2 linked regions of the Coturnix japonica genome follow. The protein of the gene in region 2 interacts with the protein of the main gene of each other region in a pairwise test. Links are inferred from orthologs where the notes say so. Each region holds a gene or a part of one and is shown on either strand. Other genes may lie near its edges. The genes, in order: RABGGTB and WDR4.

The links.
Region 1: the proteins of WDR4 (region 2) and RABGGTB interact in binary tests that used the Homo sapiens proteins (3 or more experiments, as listed by UniProt). The two-hybrid records come from large-scale screens. The link is inferred for Coturnix japonica from reciprocal best matches to the Homo sapiens genes WDR4 and RABGGTB.

Annotation. Positions count from the first base shown.
Region 1 is NC_029523.1:26,855,436-26,859,350, reverse strand, and holds the start of RABGGTB (geranylgeranyl transferase type-2 subunit beta), read right to left. Parts: upstream 2,523-3,915; 5' UTR 2,335-2,522; coding exon 2,332-2,334; intron 1,541-2,331; coding exon 1,433-1,540; intron 1,319-1,432; exon of another isoform or gene 1,236-1,318; intron 806-1,235; coding exon 608-805; intron 1-607. UniProt on the Homo sapiens protein: Catalyzes the transfer of a geranylgeranyl moiety from geranylgeranyl diphosphate to both cysteines of Rab proteins with the C-terminal sequence -XXCC, -XCXC and -CCXX, such as RAB1A, RAB3A, RAB5A and RAB7A.
Region 2 is NC_029516.1:98,726,581-98,730,495, forward strand, and holds the start of WDR4 (tRNA (guanine-N(7)-)-methyltransferase non-catalytic subunit WDR4), read right to left. Parts: upstream 2,422-3,915; 5' UTR 2,297-2,421; coding exon 2,181-2,296; intron 1,793-2,180; coding exon 1,730-1,792; intron 1-1,729. Other genes in the region: NDUFV3 (NADH dehydrogenase [ubiquinone] flavoprotein 3, mitochondrial), read left to right, coding at 2,566-2,613, 2,754-2,835. UniProt on the Homo sapiens protein: Non-catalytic component of the METTL1-WDR4 methyltransferase complex required for the formation of N(7)-methylguanine in a subset of RNA species, such as tRNAs, mRNAs and microRNAs (miRNAs).

The sequences.
Region 1 (3,915 bases), on a different chromosome or scaffold from region 2:
TCAGTCTCTCCATGTTATTTTCCACCCCAGTTTGTGCAAGAACTAGGATAAAAACAGACTAGATGGTGAAACATTAAATCTACATTGGAGACAGCTATGATGAAAACATACAATTGAAAATACTTCATTTTTCTCAGGGAAGGAGTAAACATCAAATAAAGAAATGATTAGGAGATTGATATTACTTTAAGTTTACAAAAATAAAAGAAATTTGAGGAACATAACAAGAACTGGCTACTATGATGTTCCATTTGTATGATAGTAGAATGTAAACACGCTGAACACACACTAATATAAACCACGTATTTATCTAATATTACAGTTACGGTACATAGTAATTGCATACACATATGCGTATTTATTAATATGAATCAAGTTTCTGGAGCACGTGCACATATAAAATTACTCTGAACATATATACCAAGAAAAGTTTACGAAGTTCAGGATTGTGCAAAATTCCAGTAAATGCTATAGCTAAGAAATATTTCAAGAGGAGTGTTATAAAATTTATCAAGAAAGCAAATTCATCATTAAATGAACATTAGAAGTGATATCTGCTTTCATCAATATCATTATTCACAAATGGCTGTTTCTACATCAGTTTTACCTGGACAGCACTCAGGGTATACAGAAGATGAGGATCGTGACCTGTGCTGGCACTTATTCCACCACATTCATGTTGACACGATTTGATAAATGCCAGAATTTCTTCTTTGTTCATTCGGTGCAGCTGTCCCATAAGATCCATTGCTGTCAGCCCCCAGTAAACACCACTCATCCTCAAATACTCAGACATACAGTACTCCTAAGAAGTGCATTATTTTAGTTCATCATCAGATAAAGATGCCATTGAAGTACAACAACGGAAACACAGTTTGTAACATCAAATATTTTCAATCCCATAAATGACTTAGAATGTATTAGTCACCCTTACTCTGTGTATTATGCATGTGTGCACATAAAAACACACGTATGTACACGTATACCTACATATACTAAATTCCCCCCCCCCCCCCAATACACAGTTATCGATGCTTCTCACCAAATAAAATCCATTTGCCATGTGCTCCATCACACCCACACAAGTGACAACAGTCAGAAGCACTCCTTACACACAGTACTCGCAGGGCAATGCTGCAATGCACCTCAGTGTGCTGCCTAGTAAGCACCCACATGTGATTATAGTTCTACTCATGCATTCTGGAGGATGAAGGCATAACTAGCAGTTCATTTCCAAGGTCTCAGAGTAATTCTAGAGCTAAAATGATAAGCTTCACATTTATGCTCAGATAATACATGCCAAAAGCCATCACAGACCAAAAGAAATCAACAAAGCCTTCCTCCTCTTATACTTTGGACTGCACAGAACAAGTAAGTTTTCCTAGTACCATTAATAAAACCACAGCTGTGCTGAAGCAAAACTGATACCCACGTAATCGTCTTTTTTTGTTCCATACGATGCTATGTAGTCCGCATGCTTCTCTGAAAGCAACGTGCTCGGAGCATCTGGTTTTATTATAACATCCTTCTGTGGCGTCCCCTGTAAAAGCACCAACGAGGCATCAGCTACACAGACAGCTCGGCAAGTTCCAGCAGCCACGAACGTCTCCACCAATGTTCGCTGCAGCAACTGACTGCTCTGAATCGGACATTTCTCTGTGTATGTCAAGGTTCTATACTTCACTAGTACTTTGGCTAAATCCTACCCAGCGAATGAGCACGAATATCACAGTATCATACAGTATCACAGTCTTGTGCGGGTTGGAAGGGACCTTAGAGATCATCGAGTCCAACCCCCGGGATTCGAGCCTCATGTAGCAGAGCAGCACTTCTACCACTTGCGCCACAGGGGGATTCGAACCCGGGCCTCCAGTGTTACAAAGTGGCGTCCTTAACCACTGCGCCACCGGAGGCACACAATATGTGTATGAATATGTAGCGTTTTGTTTCTTAAGTAACGCTAAATAAAACAAAGTTTCCCCCGACGCACTCAAACACGACGGGCCCCAACCACGCGCCACGAGGCCGCGCCCGCTGTGCGCTCCCGGACCCGCCGCAGCCCCGGCCGGGGCGGACAGGCCGAACGCGGCAAGTTCTCCTCGCCGCTCCGCACTCGGCTCCGACCGCAGCCAGCCCCGAACAGCGGCAGACACAGCTCCGGGCCTACAGGGCCTCGAACTAGCGCCATTACGGTCATCGCGGCCCTCAGCGTGCACCGGCACCGCACCCACCGAGCACGGAGGTTGGGACAAGGAGGATGGAGTACGGGATGGAGCACAGGATGGGCCTGGTCCACCGCCATCCCCACGCGGAGCACCACACCACACCTACCATCTTCGCCGCCTGCCCCGGAAAGAGGGAGGTACCAGGGGGGCGCGGCAATAAGTAGCGCCCGACGGGGCCTCGCTGCGGCTGCCCGGGATCCGCCTGCCGGGTGCTGCGCCCACAGCCCCGCGCGTCCGGCCCGACACCGAGCCGTGAGCAGGACGGGACTCCGTCGGACAGCTCGGACAGCTCGGACAGCTCGGACAGCTCGGACAGCTCGGACAGCTCGGACAGCTCGGGCCGCCGCCGCCTGCACGGCCTGGAGCGACGCTCCTCTGTGCCGCACCGCGGCCGGCGGGGCGCTGGGCAGCCCTGGGTCCTGCGGCGGCTGCGGCGCTCGGGCTCGTCGCAGCCGAACGCTGAATTGAAAGGGAGGGTGCGCGCGTAACGTGTGCGGTCGGAAAGTGCGTGTTGTTGTGCGTCGTGGTAAACACGGCAGCGGTTTAGAAAAGCTTTCTGGTTCTGTACGTTGTCTTTAAGGAAAAGCAAATTAAGAGTTTTTAATTAAGAGTAATTAAGAGTTAAATTAGCACAGGACGGGTGAGGAATACTCTGTTATTTCAACGAACGAGCAACAACAAAGCCACTTTTCTTCCTAATTAAAACCGATATGACTGTATTATGAATTACGAACACTGACTCAGACCCATATGGGAGACAAAATCATACTGGATTGGAACAGGATCTTAAGAGTATCCAACAGAAACAGTATATTATGCCAGCATGTGAAGGACAGTCAAAAATAAGTGCTTCTTTTTTGTTAGTTTGTTTTGTTTTGTTTTTTCTAAGTACGTCAGTTCTTAACCAGGTTGTCACACTAAACCTCCCCTTTTTTATTTATAAACATTGACCTGTGACTATAGGTCATATAAGGTGCAAGTCTATAATCCATAGACCATAGGGCTATATAATCCTATAAACATTGACAGTGACGTTGTCCTGTCACTGCACTCCCAGATAAAGTCTCTCCCCATCATTTTCATAGGCCTTCTTTAAACACTGGAAGGCAGCTATAAGGTCTCCTCAGAGCTTTCTCTAGACTTAAGAAATCAAACTTTCTCAGCCATTCCTTGTAGGAGATTCTTAGAAGCCTTTCTTCAGAAAATAGTGCAGACCAGTGCCAATGAATTGGAGCGTAAAACGGTTGGATCCAAGACCTACAAGGCGTTTTGGTGGCTTTTGGCTTTGGGTTACACTGCATACCCCTAAAGAAGGGCTGGAGCACCTCAGGTGCATTCCTAGATCATGTCTTCTAGTTAGTTTAATCCAAAGTTCAGTTCACATGCCTTCAAATCTCTGTAAATCAAAGCACTAAGGGACAACAGGGGCGAACCTGGGAGATTCACCTCAAAACTGCACTCGTTAGAACCAAACTGTTCATGTGGACACAGTCTGAGGCAGTAGTGGACTGAAATCAGCCATGTGAGGTAACTGGGATAAAGAATGGGAATAGACCAAAAGAAATACAAATAGGAATAAGTGTAGGAGGAAATAAATTGAACTGGGAGACAATAAGAATGGCTGGTAAGAAGTTTTGTAAAAAGTAAAAAAAAAAAAAAGGAAGGAAAGAGTGCATGGAGCCACCACTGA
Region 2 (3,915 bases):
ACTACAATTCTATTCAAATTAGAGCAAGCTGCTCAGGTTATGTGTAGTGAAATCTCAAATATCTCTAAGAATGAGACTCTGCAACCTCTCTGTGCCCTGTTTCTACAGCGAAAAAGCTTTCCTCTTGTGCCTTGTCCTGACCTTCTGCATAGACAAAACAAGCTCATCTTCCTCACATTCTCCACTAAGATAATAATAAATAAGATAAACTCTTCTTCTCGACTCAAGAGGTTAGAATTTAAACATCCAGGAATACATTTACAGCTTTGCAGACGTCTCAACTTCATGATCAAGGACAGCGCACAGAGTGTGCACTGACTAAACCCTGCATCAGTATCTGCATATGAGAAATTATTCTTTATTAAAACTAACCAGCACAAACAAGACACAGAACTTTGGTGAACTCAAATTAAGACAGGAATCCTGTTTTCCGTACTGCTTACTTCTAGATGGTGCACGGTACAGGGACCTCCACAAAAGTTCATAAGAAGAGCACTCAAGCAAAGCGTATGGTTACAGACAAGTAACAAGTAATTCTTTACTGTTAGGGAGATACAGCACTGGAACAAGCTGCCCAGAGAGGCTGTGGAGTCTCCTCTGGAGATATTCAAGACCCACCTGGATGTTTTTCTGTGTGACCTACTGTAGGGAACCTGCTTTCAGTAGGGGGAAGTTGGACTGGATGATCTCTAGTAGTCCCTTCCAACCCCTGCAGTTCTGTGATTCTGTGAAGACTGTATCTGTTTGGTTGGTTTTTGTTTTGTCTTGCTTTCATTTCTTAGTTCCTCTAATAAAAGATGTAGTGTTTTTTCTGAGATGAAACTAAAAAATACATATACATTGACATATATCACAGAATCGCAGGGGTTGGAAGGGACCTCAAAAGATCATTGAGTCCAACCCCCAGCCAAAGCAGGTACCCTACAACAGGTTACACAGGTAGGCGTCCAGCAAGGGTTTTCAATATCTGCGTAGAAAGAGGCTACATGACTTCCATGGGCAGCCTGTTCCAGTGCTCCATCTTCTTTACCATACAGACATCCCTGCGCGTGTTAGTTCTGAACTTTCCATGCTGAAGTTTTAGGCCATTATTCCTTGTCCTATTGCTACACACCACTGAGAAGAGCCTGGTCTCACCCATTTGCCTTCCAGAGCCCTTTAGATATTTATAAACATTTACCAGATCCCCTCTCAGTTTTCTTCTCCCCAGGATGAACAGATGCAGGTTACACAGCCTTTCCTCAAGCAGAACATGCTCTGAGCCTTTCATCATTTTTGTGGCCCTCCACTGGACTCCTCCTTGGGGATCCCTGTCTTTTTTGAGCTGGGGAGCCCAGAACTTGATACGGTATGCTAAATGAGGCCTCACAAGAGAAGAATAGAAGGGGAGGAGCACCTCCCTTGACCTGATGACCATGCTCTTTTAGTGTGCCCCTTGATATTACTGGCCTTCTTGGCCACAAAAGCACACTGCTGGCTTATGGCCAACCCGTTGAATCCCAGAATATCTATGTCCTTCTCTGTAGAGCTCCTCTCCAGATGATCATCATCTAACCTGTACTGATACATGCAGGTGCAAATCTACACATCCATCAGGGCTAGCAATGAGCATCTGCCCATCACCCGTTCAAGGAGCAGTCTCATGGGTTTATTACTTTAATAGCCACACAACCTCAGGGTCAGATACGCCATCAAGGAAAACACCATATATCTACACTTATTTTCTCACCCTTTATTTCCTGAGGCCTTCTTTTCCACATTGGCACAGTCATACACAAAGAGAGCATCATCCCTGCAAATAAGGAAAAACAACAGAATAAAACCACTAGAACTGGAACAAACATGGCCTTAACTATAGAACATGTCAACTCTTTCAGAACATAAAGAAGCCAAATTGTGGGCAGGGCTGCCACCCACCAGCTCAGGCTGCCCAGGGCCCCATCCAACCTGGCCTTGAGCACCTGCAGGGATGGGGCACCACAGCTTCTACGGGCAGCTGTGCCAGCGCCTCACTGCCCTCAGAGGGAAGAACAGGGAATAAATCCTTCCTTATAACTAAGCTAAATCTCCCCCTCTCTCTGCTTAAAGCCGCTCCCCCTCGTCCTGTCACTACACTCGTTAAGTCCCTTCCCAAGGAACCAAACCGGAGGGCAGCCCCAACCCACCCGGCACACACTGACCTGTGCTCCCCTCTCCGCACCGCCATCAGCCGGCTCCCACCTCCGACAGCCATCAACGTTCCCTTGAGAGCTAAAGCCGGGCCGGGCCCGGGGCCGCGTCCCCATCCGCCCTCCATTCCACGTGCGAGAGAGGGCGCAGAGTGTGGACGTCACCACAGGTGACGAGACGATGATGACGTACTGAAAAAGAGCAACGCGATCAATATAAATAAGGAAATAAATAAATAAATTGAAAGGATCGCTGGAAGAGAGAATAAATAAATAATTAAATAAATAAATAAATAGATTTTTTAAAAAAGGGGGGAGAGGGGGGAAGAAAAAAGCCAAACAGAAGGTATTGCTGATAGAGGGCAGCACGGGGCTTGAGGAGGAGGAGGACGACAAGATGGCGGCGCCCTCACTGCTGTGGTGCGGGTGGGCGGCTGCCCGCAAGGTGGGGGTCTTACAGCTCTCCCAGCTCCAAAGAACCTCGGCCCGGGACCTCTCCGAGGCACGGAGCGGCCGATCCGGCTGCTCCGTGCCTCGGAGAGGTCCCGGGCGAAGGGCTGAAGGCTTAATGGCTGTGTTTTACAGGCAGTGAGGCCGGAGGTCTGGGGGCTCCGAGGGGCGACGCTGTGCACCCGGCCAGGAGGCTCCGGGACGCCGCCGGTGACCAGTAAGATGCTTCAAAGTTGATTTTCTTGCAGCTTTTTGATTTCAGAAGGTGCCAGGAGGCTTATCTACCTCTGTCAACCACCTGCTTTTCCTGCGTATGGTTATGCTTAGTTTGTGTAAGCTCATGGTTATGAGTAGAAATGTGTCTTTTCCACGTATCCAAATACAATTGATTAAAGTATTTTTCCAGCAACGCTTCCTTGTAATGCTCAAGTTGAATGCTATCTGCATTCTTAATTTCTTAAGACATCTTTAGTACTAATACTTCAGCTTATTCTTAGGCTTTGCTTATATGTCTTTCCTTCGGGCATTCTTGAGTTCTTCCTCAGCAGTTCTTTGAAGACTTCTTTAGCCTGGAGGGATGCTTTCTCAAATATTCAATTATAAAGGCTTCTGTGTTTCACTGTCAGGGAGTCAGATGTCCTTCAAATGTGATTGCCAATTCTCTTGCTTCCCCCATCCTCTTTCCCCACCCTCTACCTTTAGTCCAGCAAATTGCATGTCTGAAATTCTCTGAAAGTATTACCTGAATAGTAAACTGATAGTATATTCTATATTATTTGCATTTATTTTAAGAGCTCTGTTTTTCTATTTTTGGCTTTTAATTAGATGTATCTGTCTCTTCCATGATATTTTTATCTCAATGTTGTTAAAGGCTTGCTTCTATTCAGAGCTACTTACAGGAACTCCTTAGGTCATACAATGTATGTATGCATACATACATTGAGCATTAGGAAGGAGAAAAAACTGCAGTCTACGTTACAGTCCGGTGAAGTAGGTCTGTGCTTCCAAACCATGCATATATATGTATGTGCTTTCAGTCCTTTTTGCCCTCCTGTTTTCTCTAACAAAAACTGTATTTGCTGTTGATCTACTTCTGGAGCCTCTGTGAGGGAGAAGAAACACAGACAGGCTCAAAAGCATCAAAAAGCCTCCTAAGGTTTTTTAATGAAGAGATTTCAAACTAAAATGGGAAGTGGAGATAGGAAAAATAGCATTAAACTGAGATCCAGTTCAGTTGGTAGATCACGCAGTCCTATGAACTAGTAGTGCTTTCATGCATGGCCTGAGTAGCCTCTTG